Linked DNA regions of Sus scrofa. The protein of the gene in region 2 purifies or fractionates together with the protein of the main gene of each other region. This does not show direct contact. Links are inferred from orthologs where the notes say so. Each region holds a gene or a part of one and is shown on either strand. Other genes may lie near its edges. The genes, in order: MYBBP1A, SIRT7, FBL, WDR77 and UBTF.

Region 1 (2,783 bases), about 49 Mb from region 2:
GGGGGCGCATAGGAGCCAGTGAGGTCGCAGGGAGGGCCTCCTGGGAGAGGGGTCAGCAACGTCAGAGCTGAAGAGGGCGGGAAGGCGTGTCCAGCCGGGCGCCAGTCAGACGCAGCCACAGCATCGAGCCCTCACGGCCTGGCCCTTGAACTGCTGGGGGTCTGCGGAAGTGTTTGCAGCAAGAGCATGGGCCCGGGGGCTGGTTTGCCTTTTCAGAAATGGGCAGCAGGGTGGGCTGTGCTGGAGCAGGGAGCCCAGTGAGACGCAAGCAGGTGGCAGGTAGAGGCGTGAGGACCGTTAAGCGGGTGGCGAGAGTGGGGCAGCGCACCCGCGGCTCGCTCCCCACTGGCCCCGGGTCACAAGCGACGGCCGGCCCTCCCCTCCCTGCCGCAGTGTCGTCTGTGGAGTGCCCTGCCTCCTGTCCCATCTGCACCTGGTCCCGCAGGGCCCAGCAGGCTTCTGAGCACACAGACCCTGGTTTTGCTTTCCAAAGGGCCTGGAGGCCACTGTCCCCCGAGAGACGATGCAGATGCGGCTGGGGACCAGGTCGGGATGTTGGCCCTAGCGGAGCCTCGCCCAGGGAGCCAGTTGCCCCCCGTTTTCCTCAGAGCAGATCTGGGCGTGGCCCCGGGGCGACCCCTTTGGTGACTTTCCTGCCTGGGATGTGGGGCCCGGGGCTCTGGGGCTTGGCTCCTGCTGGGCAGGGAGCAGGCGGGGGCAGGCCGCTGACCAGCTCTGGCCCTTCCCCCGCCACAGACACCACCTGTGCCGCTCCCGGCATTACTGCCGCGACGTGGGGGACCGTGTGGAGACAGTGTATGCCCAGCTGGAGCGGCTGGTGCGGCAGGCCGGCCAGCAGGCCGACTCCTCCGTCGCCCTGTACCACTTCAACGCCTCGCTCTACCTGCTCCGGGTCCTGAAGGGCAGCACCGTGGACAAGTCCGCCCAGAAGGAGAAAACCACCGCCGCTGATGCCAGCGCCCAGGGCCGCGAGGTGAGCAGGCCTGACCCGGGAAGGCTCCCATGCCCAGAGATGGGAGCAAGGCCCAGGGGGCGCGGGGCCACCCGCCCATTTCACGGAGTGGGAGTTGAGGCCAAGCCTTCCCCAGGATCCAGTGGTCCGCCCTCCGAAGGCAGCCCGGCCTCACACTGCGCTCTGTCTCTCGTGGTCCAGGCTGCCACCTGCTTGGACTTGAGCCGCGTGACCCCGATCTACTCAGCGGTGCTGAGCTCGTTCCTGACCAAGCGCAACAGTCCGCTCACCGTTCCCATGTTCCTCAGCCTCTTCTGCCGGCACCCGGTGAGTGCAGGCCCGGCCACCCCCTTGGGCCCCTGCTCAGCCCGCTCCTCATTGCCCACGTCCCAGCCCTGTCCTTCCCTCCACAGATGCTCTGTAAGAACCTGCTCCCCCTCGTGGTCGAGCACATAGCCAGCCACAGTCGGCCCCGCCATCAGGTAAGAGGGTCCCCGGATCCCAGGACCCGCTTGACTCCTGTCTGGCTGGTTATTGGAGAGGGGGGCGCTGGGTGTGGGGACGAGACACTTTGCTTGTGGCCTGAGCCCTCCAGCTCCTCAGAGCTCAGGCTCTGGCCTACGTGGAGGGAGCCCCGAGGCTAACAGGTTGGCCTGGGGGTGGGCATCAGACAGGCGGCTGGAGACGCTGGAGGAAGAGGCACTGAATTAGCAAAGGACCAGTAACTATGTCACCCTAAGTGGGGCCCCCTGTCCAGGTCCTCCCACCTGCCTGAGAAGAGGGGGCAGGAGCAGGCGATGGCCGAGCCCCGGGTGCCTGTGGTGACAGCTCAGGCAGGTTGGCCCCAGAGCAGCGGGCAGCCCCTCCCGCACAGCCTGGCCTTGTCACAGTCTATTCGGGTACCTGGCAGGCTCCCCAGGTCCCCTGTGCTTCCCTGAGCCTTGACGCAGCATGCCGAGGCTCCCGGTGACCACGTGTTCCCCGCCCAGGCCCAGGCCTGCCTGCTGCTCCAGAAGAGCCTGCACACGCGGGAGCTGAGACTGTGCTTTAAGGCCCCGGAGTGGGAGCAGCTGATGGGCCAGATCCTGGCGAAGGTCTCCGAGGTAACAGCCACGGGGCCTCCGCCCCCCACCTGCCATCAGTGGCTCTGGGAACCTGGGGGCAAGGAGTGCGGGACCCCGTGCCTGGGGCGGGTTTGGGTTTGCCCAGGAGGCGTTTGTTCCCTTGGGCCTCGGCCTCCTGTGGGAGGTGGAGAGGCCTGGAACGGCTCTGTGGAGGGGCTCAGGCTGGCCGCCTTCTCCCCAGAACCTGCGGACGCTGGGGGAGGCCGAGACCAAGTCGGAGCACCAGAAGGAGTTGTCCTCCTTGGAGCTGCTCAACACTCTCTTCAAGAACATTCGCCAGGAGGTGAGCCTGGGGCTCAGGCGGGAGGTCGCCGCACGTGCTGGTGAGCACGGAGCCTGAGCAGGGGTTTGGGAGCTGGTGGGAAGCCACGTGGGAGAGGTTCTGGATGCCGGGGGAGGAATCTGGGCTGTTCTCATGCGGGTGGTTAGAGAGTCTCAGGTCAAGGCACTTCACTGGGAAGAGAGGCTCACAGCTCGCACCTGGCCGGGGAGGGGGCGCCGGTGGGCTGTTGCCGTGCTCCCGGGCGAAAGCTGAGAAGGGGCGAGGGGGGCCAGTGATAGCGGAGGAGGCGAGGAAGGTTCCTGGGGGGCGGCTGTCAGAAAAGAGCCTAGGTTCCAGGCCTGCAGACAGGAGGCGGGCGTGGGGCCAGGAGGCCTCTGAGGGTGTCTGGTTCTCCCCCTCTGGC
Region 2 (4,149 bases):
CTCTCCTGTCCCCAGCGTGGCCCCAGGGAGCCCACCCCATGGCCCCTGGCTGCTGCTCCAGGCGGCGTGGCGTTTATGCGGGCAAGAAGCTGCAGCTGCTCCGCGGCTGTGTGGCGGGCTGGTTGCTGCTGTGTGCGGGTCTCTCCGGAGGCTTTTCTACTCTTGGTCTGTGCCTCAGGTCTGGGCACAACCCTGACCGTCAGCAGCGGCCTTGATAGTTGGTGCCCAGGCCCATGGCTCTGATCAGCTGCAGCGTGCTTTGGGACAGGTGGACAAACTCCACGCAGTCCCTGCCGCCTCCCCCCTCTGGGGTCGAGAGTTGGCCAAAGCTCCAGTCCACAGCTGGAAGCCACAGCCTGCAGCACTGTTTCCGCTCTGGGATCTTGTAAGTTACTTTTTTAGGCTGTGGTTTGGTGAAAGGAACCAACCCATTAACGATTTTTTTCCCCAGAAGCCACCGAATAATTCTTTTTGGCGCGTTTTCACCTTCCTCTTGGCTGTCTGGTTTTGGAGCAGATGGGAAGAGGCAGGGGTGTGCCCTGGAGACGGATGGCCTGCCCTGCTCTGGCCTGTGTGTCCTGAGCATGTGCTCTACCTGTTGGGTCAGTTGCATATGTTTCCACCCCACCCTGGAGCAGCAGCCTTGGTACCGGGGTGTCCTTGGCGGGAGTCTGAGCTGGCGTGTAGGAGAGCCTGTCCGAGATGAGTTGTGAGGGAGATGCCTCTCATGGCCTCGTGTCCCAGCCCCACCCTTCTCCCCATCCCCTCAATCTGCTAGTCCCTGAAGCCTTTAACCAAACGGGAGTGGGTAAAGAAAGCCTTCTCCTGGCATCTTAGGGCGGCAGGACAAGGGCTGTCCAGTGTGTCCAGCTCTGCTGCTCTCCCGACGCAGCGAGGGTGGGCCAAGCAGAGTTGATCAGCCCCTGCCTGCTCTGCTGAAGGCTGCGGACAGGAGGGGGTGGGGGTACCCTGGGGTCTGCGGGGGGCGGGCGGGGGTTGTTGAAGATCCAGGTGAGGAGGGGCCTCGCTGGGGCACCCGGGCTGACCTGGGGCGGAGCGGCCTCGCGCCGTCCCTGCCCTGTGCAGTATTTATTGCTAAATTATTGTCCAGGAGGGGCGGCACTGGGCCGGGCCCTGGGTATTTATTGCTGTACATAGTGTATGTTTGTGATATATAAGGTTTTCTTTATTTTGTATATGATCAATAAACACCTTTTAAACAGACTGGCAGGTGCTTCCTTGGGGCGGCGCGCGGGCGGGGCGGGGGGCGGGGGCGGCGCCTCGCGCGCATGCGCCGGCGCGCGGCCCGCTGGGAGGCGGAAGCGGAAGCGCGGGTCTCCCCGGGAGCGATGGCTGCCGGGGGTCTAAGCCGGTCGGAGCGCAAGGCGGCGGAGCGGGTCCGGAGGCTGCGGGAGGAGCAGCAGCGGGAGCGCCTCCGCCAGGTACGCCGCCGCCCGCCCCGCGCCGCATCTCCGCCCCGCGCCACCCTCACCGCCTGCCCTGCGCCCGCAGGTGTCGCGCATCCTGAGGAAGGCGGCGGCCGAACGCAGCGCGGAGGAAGGCCGGCTCCTGGCCGAGAGCGAGGACCTGGTGACCGAGCTGCAGGGCCGGAGCAGGCGGCGCGAGGGCCTGAAGCGGCGGCAGGAGGAGGCGAGTCCCGGGGTGCGGGCGGGCCGACCGGGGACGCGGGCCGGCCGGGGGCCCTCACCACCGGCCTCGGCGTCTCGGCAGGTGTGCGATGACCCAGAGGAGCTGCGGAGAAAAGTCCGGGAGCTGGCCGACGCCGTCCGCAACGCCAAGCACCTGGTCGTCTACACGGGCGCGGGGATCAGCACGGTAGGGAGGCGAGGCGGGGACAGCCGCGCCCCGGGGCGGCTCCCAGTTCTCGGGAAACGCGGACCAGCGGGACGGGGGCGGTCGGAGGGCGCCCCCTTCTGGGTGTCTGACCCCAGCACCGAGCACGGTACTGCTAAGCAGCAACACGGATTCACGAAACATTCCCCTTAAAAAGCACCTCTGAGAGTCTTTCCTTCTTAGAGGAGCTTGAAAGGACTCCACTTGGAACTTCACTGAGTAGATAAACGTTCTCAAACACTTGAGCTCTGTGTTACACGCAGTTAGAAAGAGGAGAGGAAGAGGGATACATCGGGGCGTGACAGATCAGTGCTTGCGGCGTCCTCATCGAAAGTTACGGGGTTAATTCTCCCTCCGAGGTGATGTGGGGAGAGCCAAGCCCCAAACCCTCTTCTGACTCTCCGTGCGGTGTGTGTTCTGAATGAGGAACGGTCGGTACCGGACAAGGCAGTACCGGTCAGGTTAGGGTGCACCCTGTGAGATGAGACATGCTTTGTTTTGCGAAGTTGTAGCGCGACGACCTGGGCGGTGGAATATGACCGGCCTTGACAGTGGGGATAGTCTGATTGCTGGCTGTAGGTTGAGTGTGACCTACAGGTGGGCCTGGCAGAGGTGAGTAACAGGGATTTTTGTCTTCAAGATGCCCAGCACTGCCAGGTGATGCTCGGAAGCCATGTTGACAGATACTTGTAATGTGGGGCTGGCCGCGCTAGGGCACTAGAATAGAAATCCCAGCGCCAGAGTTCCTGCTGTGGCGCAGTGGGTTAATGATCCGGCTTGGCTCTGTGGAGGCGCTGGTTTGAACCCCAGCCCAGCGCAGTTGCTTCAGGATTTGGCGTTGCCGAAGCTGCGGCCTGAGTCGCAGCTCTGGCTGAGGTTGGGTCCCTGGCTAGGGAACTTCCATGTGCCTCGGATGCGGTTGAAAACAAAAAGAAAAATTCAAGTATCCCCTCTGAGGTCTCAGATTGGGAGACCCATCTGGTTGGTTTTCCGTGGAAGGCAGCACTGAGTCTGGGCTTGAATGGTGGGAAAGATTTTCTAGACGCTTCAGGGGTAAGACACTGCAAACAGGGTTGACTGAAGAGGCCCAGTAACGAGGGTGTGTGAGGTACGTTACCTGCTTAGCAAACCTCTGGAGCCCTGGCACCCGTGAACTCCCATCACGAGATTCCGTAAAAGCTGTCATTTCACTTTCAAAGAACTGTAAGCAGCTGCGGAAGCCACGTGGCATTCAGGAATTGGCTCTGAGTGTTACTGTTTGAGGCTCCCCTGTTCAGGGTGAGTCGGAACCACTGGTCAGGGCAGGCATGTTCCTGAGTTTAAGCAGCAGAGAGGAGTCAGTGCTCCCCGGAAGGGGGCGCCCTCCCGGCCTGGGAGACGCCAGACGTCTTGGTCCTGGCGAAATTTTTGTCTCCTTCTCTCGGGGCGGTTCTTTCTCACTGAATTGGGAACTTGGGGAATTCAGTCATGTTTCTGTCACCTGAAGAGGCCGGCCTGTCTTCTGAAGGCAGGACAGGAACCCCTCACAGCGTCCGGTTGTAAGGCCTTGGAGGAGGTGCGTTCCGCCTAGGGCCTCACCATTTGCTGAGCACTGGCTGGGCCTGGAGTACACAACACCCAGATGAGCCTGACCAGTCCTGCTCCATGCTAGCGAGGCTCTCTGGATCCCAGAAGGATGAGCCGGACTGGTTGGGTGCAGGGGTCCAGGCAGAGGGAAGGAGTCGTGGGGGGTGCTCCCTCTGGGCGACCAGTTAGACTGGGAAACGCCGAGCCCCTGGAGTGAATGGAGGCCAGTCCCGGGACGTGCTGGGGAGATTCTTGGGGATTCTGCCAGCGCCTACAGTGATGCCCCTTCACTGGGCCTGTCTTCTTTCCGGACGTGCAGGCGGCCTCTATCCCAGACTACCGGGGCCCTAACGGAGTGTGGACGCTGCTTCAGAAAGGAAGAAGCGTTAGGTAAGCAGCCTGGCGCAGCCTTCCCACCTGGTTGAGCAGGGGCAGCGTGGGCCTGCCCTGCCCTGCCCGGTCCCCTCACCTCCGCTTCCCTTCCACCCGGCAGTGCTGCCGACCTGAGTGAGGCCGAGCCGACCCTCACCCACATGAGCATCGCCCGCTTACACGAGCAGAAGCTGGTAAGAGCCCAGGGCGGCGGCGCGCTTTGTCCGGTCGGCCCTGGGGGTCCGCCTCGGATACCGGAGGCCGAGGACGCTCAAGCCCCCCCCCCGCCCCGGGTAGACCTCCCGTCGCCTTCAGCCCGCTTGTACCACCAAAAACAATGGCAGGGCTGTGCAACTA
Region 3 (4,139 bases), on a different chromosome or scaffold from region 2:
TAGGGGTCGAATCAGAGCTGTGGCCACCGGCCTACGCCAGAGCCACAGCAACTTGGGATGCGAACCACGTCTGCAACCTACACCACAGCTCACAGCAATGCTGGATCCTTAACCCACTGAGCAAGGGCAGGGATCGAACCCGCAACCTCATGGTTCCTAGTCGGATTCGTTAACCACTGCGCCACAACGGGAACTCCCACTTGTTTTGTTCTGAGGAACAAATATATAGGATGCATATTCAAGTTATAAAATTACAAAGCACAAATTTCTCAATACTTAGGCAGAATCTGCTCACTCCTCACCCCTTCCTCTGCCTGCATCATGATCCATTGCAGCAGGGCCCTCATTGGTCTCCCAAACCTATTCCTTCACTCAGTTTCCCACATACAGCCAGGCGACCCAAGTGAGATTATATCCCTTCTTTGTTCAGGAACCTCTTTCTCTCTCAGAGTAAAAGCCAAAATTATCACCCTAAAGCTCCATACAATTTGCTTTGTCGACCTCCCTACCCTCATCTCCTCCCCCTCTCCCCAAGATTACTCTGCCCCGACCACATCCCTCACTGTTTCTGCAACCCTCCTTACCTTTCCTGCTTCAGGGCCTTGGCACCTGCAACCCTTGCTGCCTGCGTTCTCTTCCCGCAGATAGAACATGCCTCCCTCCTCATCTTCTTTCGCTCTTTGCTCAAAAATCACCAGATGGGCTCCCTGACCACCGGGTAAGAAATTTCACACACTGTCCCCCACTCCCAACACCAGTCCCTATTCCCTCCCTGCTATTTTCTCCAAAGCACTTACAGCCTTCTATCATTCAACAATGATTTTTACTAACTATCATTCAACAATGATTTTTACTAACTCGTTTGCTGTTTGTTTCCCCCACTGCAAGATGAGCTCCAGGAGGGTGGGGATGTGTCTGTCTTGTTCTCTGCCATATTTCCAAAGCCTAGAACAGTGCTTCGTACATTCAGGCGCATAATTAGTGCTTTTCAAATGTATGAATGCGAGTCCAGAGTTGGCCCTTGTTCTTGGGGGTGAAAATGGATTAGGGAAGGCTTTGAGGTGTAGAGGGAAACTTAGGGAGTTAATCAGGAATAGAGAAGAGGAGCTAGGGTAGCCCGTGCGAAGGTTTGGAGACCTGATTACTGGGGTGCTTGCACAGGTGGAGAGGAAGCGGGAAGAGTGTTCAGGCAGCAAGCGCTGCACAGGAAAGGCGGTGCCAGCGGCGGTCGAAGAGGCGGTACCGGGAGGGGCTCGGGAATCCCCGCCCACAGCGCGCACACAAGCCATGGGCGGGGCTGTGGCTCCGAAGGATGGGGTCTGCGTGCTTGCGTCACGCGCCGCACGTCGCCGCGCGCCTGCGCTCCTTTCCACGTGCGTAAACCCGGGACGCGTGGAGTCGAAAGAGCCTCAGATTACTGAGTAGCGAACCTCTGTGCTCGCTATGAAACCAGGTACGGGCCGGGGTTGGGATCGGGGGTCTGGGACTGGGGCCTGGTGGGGATCGGGGTGCCAGTCCGGAACGAAGGGGTATGGTGGTCTTGGCCTGGAGGCAGGAGTTCTGAGCCCCGGATCCGGTCTCTTGTGGGGAGGGGGGTCTTGGTTCCGCTCTCCGGTGTGGGTGAAGGGGGCTCGCTTTTGCATGGTGATTGAACTTGAGCCCGGGGTTCGGGTTCCTGGTCTGGAGCTTTGTGACTGGCTTTCCCGAGGTCACAGTCGTGGGTCGAGGGTCTTTGGCGTGGGCTTGAGGAGGGTTGTGTCTTGACCTGGGATTCGTTTCATTGAAGCTGTCGTTAGAGGTCTTGGATGTTGGCCCGGCGGCAGCAATCGCGAATACTAACCCAGAATCCAGATCCAGGCATCTAGGGTCTCGGATCTCTGGGTGTGGGATTTGGGAATTTGTCCTGGTTCGGAGGCGGAGAGTCGCTGATTCGGGGGTCCGAAAGCTGGGTCTGAGAGGACCAGGTATGCTCCTGTGTCGCCACCGCTACTGCGGTACCCTTGGCCCCAACACCCAGCTTCTCGGAGAGGGCCGGCATGGATGGATTCTCCCGGCTTGGTAGTCTCTCTGGCCCATTTTCCCGCTCTCCACTTACCAGAGAGGGGCGGGTCCCTGAGGATGGAGATCCTGGGCCTAGTGCTGATGAGAGATGAGATGAAACTTGACAGCCCAGTATAGGATTAAAGTGGGGGGGGGGGCGCGTAATCACGGAGCATGAGTGTTTTTATCCATTCCGATCTTACTCGAGATTTTGATGAACCCAGTGCATCTCCCTCTTGGTCTAATGATGAGAGTACAGGCTTTGACAGCAGAAGAGCCTCCGTTCAAAGTTTCAGTCCTCACTATGCTTAATTTACTGTGTGATCTGGAGCAAGTAAGTGACTTTCTCTCTCTGAGCCTCTGTTATCTCATCAATGAAAAATGGCACCCAGCTCTAATTTAGTGAAATCATGTTAAGAAGAAATACCGGGAGTTCCCATCGTGGCGCAGTGGTTAACGAATCCGACTAGGAACCATGAGGTTGCGGGTTCGATCCCTGCCCTTGCTCAGTGGGTTAAGGATCCGGTGTTGCCGTGAGCTGTGGTGTAGGTTGCAGACGCAGCTCGGATCTCGCGTTGCTGTGGCTCTGGTGTAGGCCGGTGGCTACAGCTCCGATTAGACCCCTAGCCTGGGAACCTCCATATGCTGCGGGAAGCTGCCCTAGAAAAGGCAAAAAGACGGAAAAAAGAAAAAAATCAGCACCTGCTGACAGTCATTTCACAATATACCAGTATCAAATCAACAGGTTGTATGCCTTGAACTTACACAACGTTATATTATGTCAACTGTATCTCATATAGCACAGCCCTTGACATATAATAGTATTGGCTCCAATTGTTATCTTCTTAAGGGAAATGAGATTATGGTCCTTCTTCCTAAGTCAGGCCAAGCCCCTCCCTGTAACTTGGTTCCCTTGGAGTTGGGGAAATCTTCTATCCTGACCAAAAGTTTTTGTTTTTTTTTTTTCTTCCTTTCCAGTCCCCCCTGACCCCAGCCTGTGGAGGGATGGGGTCATCTGGAGGTGTCGGGGGGAGGGGGAGGCTGTTTTGTGGGTCCATGCTGCCTCCCAAGTTCCCTTTCTCTTCTTCAGTGTTTGGGGATCTACTTGTGGAATGAGAAGTGCCAGGAGGGTGTCTCCATGAGACCCTGGTATGCCTGCAAGCATCCTGTGGTCTGATTACCCCAGGAGTGGCGCAAGATACACCTTCCTTCCAACCCCTCCTTCGCTGTATTAGGCTGTAAAGTTGTAGAAATTGTCAGGAGTCAGCTCTTTAGCAAGGAGTTTAATCTGGTTGAGAGAAGAAGCCTTTGGGAGATTCTGAACCGAGACATGATGTCAGTCAGACTTGACTGAGACATTTAAAAGGATCCTTCCTGCTTCTGTGTATAAAAGATTTTAGGAGGGGGAGTTCTTGTCGTGGTGCAGCGGAAAACGAATCTGATTAGTATCCACAAGGATGTGGGTTCGATCCCTGGCCTCGCTCAGTGGGTTAAGGATCCAGCATTGCCGTGAGCTGTGGTGTAGGCCAGCAGCTGTGGCTCGGATTGGACTCTTAGCCTGGAAACTTCCATATGCCACGGGTGCAGCCCTAAAAACCAAAAAAGAAAAAAGACTTTAGGGGAACAAGAATGAAAGCAGGAGGAGTTCCCATCGTGGCGCAGTGGTTAACGAATCCGACTAGGAACCATGAGGTTGCGGGTTCGGTCCCTGCCCTTGCTCAGTGGGTTAACGATCCGGCGTTGCCGTGAGCTATGGTGTAGGTTGCAGACGCGGCTCGGATCCCACGTTGCTGTGGCTCTGGCGTAGGCCGGTGGCTACGGCTCCAATTGGACCCCTAGCCTGGGAACCTCCATATGCCGCGGGAGCGGCCCAAGAAATAGCAACAACAACAACAACAACAAAAAAAAAAAAAAAAAAAAAAGAATGAAAGCAGACTCATCAGTGGGAAGTTGGTTGCTGTCATCTACTAGGAGATGATATGGCTTAGGCCAGGGTGGTAGCAGTGGACCTGGCTGACAAATTGTCACCATTTGGGAACATATTTTGAAGATAGAGCCAACAGCTTGTATGCAGGTGTGAGAGAAGGGTCAAGGACAAC
Region 4 (2,968 bases), on a different chromosome or scaffold from region 2:
GAAATTGATGCTTAGAGTGGTGAACTTGTCCAAGATTGAGGAACGAGCATCCAAATCCAGGCCTGGCTGAGTCCAAAGCCCATGCTCTTACCTCTGTGATGTCCCCCCTCTTTCCTTCAGGCGATGAGAATGGGACCGTCTCCCTTGTGGACACCAAGAGTGCAAGCTGTGCCCTCAGCGCAACTGTGCACTCCCAGAGTGTCACCGGGCTGGTGTTCTCTCCACACAGGTACTGTTCTTTGTCGTCGAGGGCCTGGCGGGTGTAAATGGGAACAGTGAGGGGAGATGCCTGTGTCGGCGGAGCACTGGCCGACTGGGTAGTTCCTTAAAGCAGGCACTGTTGTAGCTGAGCTTTCGGAATCTCAGTGAGGGGGCTCTTAACACTGCAGTCCTTTTGGGGGTTGTATGGTCTCTGACTGCAAATGGCTGAAATTCGGTGTTGTTCCTGCTCAACACCCACAGTGACTAATATTGTGGGCTTCTAGGGCTGTGTGGTTGGAAGTTGTTTCTGGGTTATTGATGAAGCTGTGGGGAGGGACCCAGTGAGAAGGTTAGTTGCTGGGATGCTTCTCAGCCCTGGCTTTGCTCCCTTTTCCTCATCTGTCTTTGAAACGTATACTGTAGACTTAGGTGTAGCCAGACCTTAGCCTTAAGTGGGGTTAGGCCAGCTGCTCCGATCACTTTAGAGTCGGGGTCTGGGGGCCAGTGAGGTTTTGCATTGGGGCCTGTGGGCTTTACCTCCCCCCGCCACCCCCTTGTCTCCTAGCACTCCCTTCCTGGCTTCTGTGAGTGAAGACTGCTCCCTCGCCGTGCTGGACTCGGGCCTCTCCAAGGTGTAAGTGTGACGTGGAATCCTGTGATCGGGAAGCAGGGCGGGGAGCAGCCGCTGGCTGGGTCCTTTTTCTCTTTGGAAAAGTGTATTGTCTCTTTCCACGGGACCGGGTGATGGAAGCAGGCTTGACTGTCTCCCTTGTTCGGGGCTGACTCACAACCAGCTCTGTCCCTGGCAGTGGGGGAAGGTGGTGGGGTTGGGATTTCCGAGTCTGGCCTTCCAGCTGTCTCCCAGAAAGGGGCAGTCTACCCTCCTCATGTGAAGAGCTACACGCAGGCAGTGCAGCGTGCTGTAGGGCGAAAGGCACCAGGCAGAGATTGGAATTGCACTTCCTTCTTTGCTGTGGTCCGCTGTCTGATGCTGACTTGTGTCATTACCTTTACTCTGGCTCTCATTTCTTCTATGAAAATCGGGCCCTGGATTGGACTGTAACACATCCACAGGACGTGCCCTGGGGTGTCGGGTCCGTTTCTTGGTCCCTCCTGTCTCTCTTACGTGCCCACACTTTTCTTTTTTCTCTTGTAGGTTTAGAAGCCGAGCCCACAGAGACTTTGTGAGAGATGCTACCTGGTCACCGCTCAATCACTCCCTTCTTACGACAGTGGGCTGGGACCATCAGGTCGTCCACCACATCTTGCCCACAGAACCTTTCCCAGAGCCTGGACTTAAGAGTGCTGCCGAGTAGACTGGATTTAAGACAAGCAAATCCCCCATGAGTATCTGCTCCCTCTGCCCCTGCCCACTCAGTTTGTGAGACAACACAGGAGCCTTATATAGTGTGTTGACACACCAGATCTGTTAATAGGCATTGTCTCTCAGCCTGGGGGAGGCTGGATCTGGGGTCCTGTAGTCACAGAGAAGAAAAACTTCCTTGAAGATGGACGTGTGTGTATGTGTCTGAGTGTATGTGTAGATAACATAATTTTTTTAGCAGAGATGAATAAAAAAAAATGCATCCCGCATCTTCCCCAAGATCTAACCCCCCTCCCCCCACAAGAAGTTGGCAGAAGGTTTTTATGCCTCCCATGTAGCTATGCTTGAGGAATTGACTGTGTCTTGGTAAGGTCTGGGCTGTGGGCATTGCTGGATTCTTGGAAGCAGCTCGTGACTCGTCATAGAGATAGGAGCACCTTTATTTTTTTAATAGAGCTTGATTCGCCTTTGTCATGGGCAGTGCTTCCATTCACAGAAGTCCGGCCCAGCTCACCTTGAGGAAGAGCCAGGACACTTAACATGGTTTTGCACATCTCTTTGCCATTAGACTGAGCCGAAGTCCAGTTGCTGGCTGAGTAAGAAGTGTGTGATGCCCACCCCCCGTGAAGTTGTGTATATGAGAGATGAGTGTATTTCTGTCATAGATGCCATGGGAAAAAGTTTCAGGAAGGTGGAGAGCTTAAAGGCACTTCAGTTAAAAACTGACACAGACTTTCATAGGAATGTCTGCCACTTTCCCACCTGAAAACAGCCTGGGGCCTGACCTTTTTTGCCTCTGGGTCCCTGCCTCTGGATCTAGGAAGCCTGAATGTTATTTTGGGGAACTCTGAAGATTTTAAATGCAGCAAGAGAGAGAGAGAATCGGAAATACTGGTCAGTGAAATAAAAAGTTGATTCATTGTTGGCCTGTCTTTTGAGGTGTGTGTCTCATGTGCAGTTAGACCTGTGTCACTTATGTGTCATCTGGGTACCAGTCCTATAGCCCGTTATTTTTTGTGTGTGCTTCCCCAGCCCCACGGAGTAGTTGGAACTTAAGGCAAACGTTTGGTTATTTGGTTGGTGGCTACTGCCGCTTAGAAGTTATGGGTCAATTACTGATTGCATTGAAACTAAATGCAATCAGCTATGTACTTTTGTGCTTTCCAAGTTTCATTTAGTGAAAATCCCATGAAACCGCCCCAGTTTCATGGGCAAAGTATTGGTAAGTAAAGCTTCTGTGTTCCACCCTTGCTGAGCACGAGCTCTATTCTCACAGTTACCCTCTAGTAAAAACAGGGCAATTTGTAGTCAGTGGATCTGTCTACTGGGTTTGCGGGGAGGTAGGAAGGAAGCTTCACTGTTCTTAACTCTAACTCCCTGGGAAGAATTGGTGCTTTGGTAGAAACACTTCCCAGAGGCAAAAGCTTAAAATTTGTGGTCATT
Region 5 (3,082 bases), about 18 Mb from region 2:
AACGTGAACCAACTGAATCGAGAAAGTGCAAAAACAGTAGCACAAGGAGTTCCCGTCGTGGCGCAGTGGTTAATGAATCTGACTTGGAACCATGAGGTTGCGGGTTCGGTCCCTGCCCTTGCTCAGTGGGTTAAGGATCCGGCGGTGCCGTGAGCTGTGGTGTGAGTCACAGATGCAGCTAGGATTCCGAGTTGCTGTGGCTCTGGTGTAGGCTGGTGGCTACAGCTCCGATTCAACCCCTAGCCTGGGAACCTCCATATGCTGCAAGAGGGGCTCAAGAAAAGGCAAAAAGACAAAGCAAAACAAAACAAACAAAAAAACCCCCAGTAGCACAAAACAGTGCGAAGGTAGGTTGCCTATGGCATCTTCAGGAGAGAGGAAGATGGTTCTAGAAAGAAGAGGCCAAGAAGCTGGCTTCAAGGGGCTTTCCACATTGAGCCTGTTCGGTCACCTCTGCCACCACTCCCCCTTCATGGAGTCCAGTGATCAGACAGCACTCAAACCTTTGTTTTTTTACTTTATTGTACAAAAAAAGGGAAAACAAAACTTCCACAGTTGGCCTTAAGCTTAGGCGGACACCTCTAAGCCATTCCCTCCCACCTCCCATGTTACAAATTCAAGTTGTGGTTGTTGTTGAAACCTACAAAAACACTCCTTAAATATTAGAAAAAAGGGGGGGGAGCGGGGTCCTCCCACCCCAGCCATCCCATCCCAGTGCCAAAATGCACTCAGAGTGACCTCTCACAGCACCAACACCCTAACCCCCCACAGCCCTGTTTGTACTGTAAGAATTTTTCAACTTTCAAAACGGGGGGAAAGAAACAGTGCCCCGCTCGAAGTTGGTTTTAAGTGAAGACATGTTTCACTAAAACACAACAGCGCAGGAGCATTCAAACAGGGAAACAGGGTTCTCTGCAGGGGCTCTCCGGAAGAAATAGAACCTATGAACCCTTGTACCTAATTCCAGGATCAGGACAAAGGAAGGGGAGTGGGAGTGGGAAGTGTCCCTCCCTAGCTCCCCCCACTCCCAGCACCAAGTCCAAGGCAAAGCGGACCGCCTGCCTTTGGGAGCAGGACCCACCTTTCCCAGCCCGCCTCCTGGGCGGAGCTCCCACTCTTCCCCATCCCTTGGCTTTCATTCAGAGGGGAAGGTGGAAAAGCACAAAGCCCCGATTAGATAGGTCAACGATGTGATTGTTTAAAAAAAAAAAAGTCAAAATTTAATAAAAACAACCCCCCCAAATTTAAACCCAGAGACAAGGTGGCTTGGCTTATTAAGAGTTTAGGAATCGGGGTACCAAAATTGGGGGGATGGCTGGGAAGGGTTAGGACAGCTGCAAAAACAGCTTGTGCAGACCTCTTCCCCAGCCGTGGGTTTGGGGAGGTGGGCAGACCTGAGAAATCAAAGGAAATGGGGGTGGGGGAGCTGGAGGATGTGGCGGAAAGGCAGGAGCGACGTGTAAGTTACAAGCTTCCAACACATTTCTCGGAGCCCAGGGTGGCCGGGAGGCCTCTCAGATGAGCTGCAGAGGCCTTTCCCACCAAATCAAAGCTTTAAGGTTCTACCTGGTCTGTTCCCCTCTCCGCCATCCTGCTGGATATTGGAGACCAGCAGTAGCTCAGAGGGAAACCAGTATGAGAAGCATCAGAGGAGCTTCGGTCACCCCGCAAAACTGAATCCGAGATTCGGCAAAGCAGAAGATATGGAGAAAGGGGCCACCCAGCCTGTCCCCATCAGGATCAATGTCACCCCGGCCCGCACCAACACTTTCACCAGATTCACAGACTTGAGGTGGGCTCCTCCTCCTCTCTTACACACACAAATACACATGTGCCTTTGCACACATCCACAGGTGCACCCATGCTATGTACAGGCCACGCACACACACACGCACACACACGCATTTTTCCACACGCATCAAGACCGTTTTAAAAAAGTCCCAAACCTAACCCCTACCCCCTCCCTCTCCCAGAAATGACAACAGAGACGGCAGCCGAGATCGGTAGGAAACGTCTCGTTGACAGCTCAGAGCTTAAAAAAAAAAATATATACACATATATAAAAAACACTTCTGCCCCCTCCCCTCGTGAGTGGGTCCAGGCAGCTCCTTCCTGCAGGGGGCAGGGGAGAGGGCTGGGGGGCCGTGCCTATTTCCCCATAGGCACCCGCCCTCCTCTCCCATGTCCCCTGCCTCCAGTTCCAATGTAGGGGTCCAGGCTGCAGCCCCTCTGGAAACAAAGGGGCCTTCCCCAAGCTTCCACCCTCCCAGGGGTTGGGCTGCAGGTGTAGAGGGCCTCAGAGAACTCTTTGGGACCCACCCCCGATCCCACTCCCAGGTCCATTGTCCATGCCGGAACTGCGAGTGCAAAAGAGGGGTGGGCTGGGCCGGTCCAGTGGTGGCTCAGTCTGGTGGTTGCGCTCCCTGGAGGGCCCTCCAGGGCTGATGGCTCTAAGGCCGCAGAGTTCTAGCCTGGGCGCCTCCAGTGCCTCTCCCCACTGTATTTTGTTTTTTTTTTTAAAAAAAAAGAAAAAAGAAAAAGAAAGAAAGAAAGTGGGGGAGGCCAGGGGGCAGGGGACAGAACATGGGAGAGAAACAAAGGTGGTCAGTCGAGGAGGGGCGCCCCGCGTGGGGCTGAGCCTCAGTTGGAGTCAGAGTCCGAGGAGTCCCCCGAGGAGGACGAGCTGGAGCTGCTGCCCTCGGATTCGTTGTCCTCGTCCTCGTCGTCATCCTCGTCGTCGTCCTCGTCCTCATCCTCATCCTCGTTCTGGGAGGCAAGGGAAGTGCAGTCACCAGGGGGCCGTGCTGGCGGGACCCCGTCCCGCCCTCCCGCCCGCCCGCCTGCCCGCCCGCCCCACCTCATCCCCGTCCTCGCTCTCGTCCTCGCTGCTGGACTCGGAGGAGTCGCCGCCATCCTCGGAGGAGTCCCCGTTCTCGTCATCTTCCTCCTCCTCGTCCTCGTCCTCGTCCTCCTCATCCTCTTCATCGTCCTCCTCAGACTCCTGCGAGGGATGGAAGCCCATCAGGGGTCCCTGCCGCGCCCTGGACCCTGCACGGGGCCCTCCTCCTGGGAGGGGCTCCTT

The links.
Region 1: the proteins of SIRT7 (region 2) and MYBBP1A purify together in Homo sapiens (affinity purification with western blotting; 3 studies listed by BioGRID, with this or other methods). This does not show direct contact. The link is inferred for Sus scrofa from reciprocal best matches to the Homo sapiens genes SIRT7 and MYBBP1A.
Region 3: the proteins of SIRT7 (region 2) and FBL purify together in Homo sapiens (affinity purification with mass spectrometry; 3 studies listed by BioGRID, with this or other methods). This does not show direct contact. The link is inferred for Sus scrofa from reciprocal best matches to the Homo sapiens genes SIRT7 and FBL.
Region 4: the proteins of SIRT7 (region 2) and WDR77 purify together in Homo sapiens (affinity purification with mass spectrometry; 3 studies listed by BioGRID, with this or other methods). This does not show direct contact. The link is inferred for Sus scrofa from reciprocal best matches to the Homo sapiens genes SIRT7 and WDR77.
Region 5: the proteins of SIRT7 (region 2) and UBTF purify together in Homo sapiens (affinity purification with western blotting; 3 studies listed by BioGRID, with this or other methods). This does not show direct contact. The link is inferred for Sus scrofa from reciprocal best matches to the Homo sapiens genes SIRT7 and UBTF.

The regions. Positions count from the first base shown.
Region 1 is NC_010454.4:50,493,308-50,496,090, reverse strand, and holds part of MYBBP1A (myb-binding protein 1A), read left to right. Parts: intron 1-756; coding exon 757-994; intron 995-1,174; coding exon 1,175-1,300; intron 1,301-1,386; coding exon 1,387-1,455; intron 1,456-1,962; coding exon 1,963-2,076; intron 2,077-2,278; coding exon 2,279-2,380; intron 2,381-2,783. UniProt on the Homo sapiens protein: May activate or repress transcription via interactions with sequence specific DNA-binding proteins. Repression may be mediated at least in part by histone deacetylase activity (HDAC activity).
Region 2 is NC_010454.4:1,076,858-1,081,006, forward strand, and holds the start of SIRT7 (NAD-dependent protein deacetylase sirtuin-7), read left to right. Parts: upstream 1-1,348; 5' UTR 1,349-1,349; coding exon 1,350-1,442; intron 1,443-1,512; coding exon 1,513-1,650; coding exon of another isoform or gene 1,651-1,731; coding exon 1,732-1,836; intron 1,837-3,739; coding exon 3,740-3,810; intron 3,811-3,913; coding exon 3,914-3,986; intron 3,987-4,149. UniProt on the Homo sapiens protein: NAD-dependent protein-lysine deacylase that can act both as a deacetylase or deacylase (desuccinylase, depropionylase, deglutarylase and dedecanoylase), depending on the context. Specifically mediates deacetylation of histone H3 at 'Lys-18' (H3K18Ac).
Region 3 is NC_010448.4:48,323,619-48,327,757, reverse strand, and holds the start of FBL (rRNA 2'-O-methyltransferase fibrillarin), read left to right. Parts: upstream 1-1,324; 5' UTR 1,325-1,443; coding exon 1,444-1,453; intron 1,454-4,139.
Region 4 is NC_010446.5:108,913,138-108,916,105, forward strand, and holds the end of WDR77 (methylosome protein 50), read left to right. Parts: intron 1-120; coding exon 121-229; intron 230-766; coding exon 767-835; intron 836-1,357; coding exon 1,358-1,517; coding exon of another isoform or gene 1,518-1,548; 3' UTR 1,549-2,457; downstream 2,458-2,968. UniProt on the Homo sapiens protein: Non-catalytic component of the methylosome complex, composed of PRMT5, WDR77 and CLNS1A, which modifies specific arginines to dimethylarginines in several spliceosomal Sm proteins and histones.
Region 5 is NC_010454.4:19,003,568-19,006,649, reverse strand, and holds the end of UBTF (nucleolar transcription factor 1), read right to left. Parts: intron 3,002-3,082; coding exon 2,858-3,001; intron 2,767-2,857; coding exon 2,641-2,766; 3' UTR 505-2,640; downstream 1-504. UniProt on the Homo sapiens protein: Recognizes the ribosomal RNA gene promoter and activates transcription mediated by RNA polymerase I (Pol I) through cooperative interactions with the transcription factor SL1/TIF-IB complex.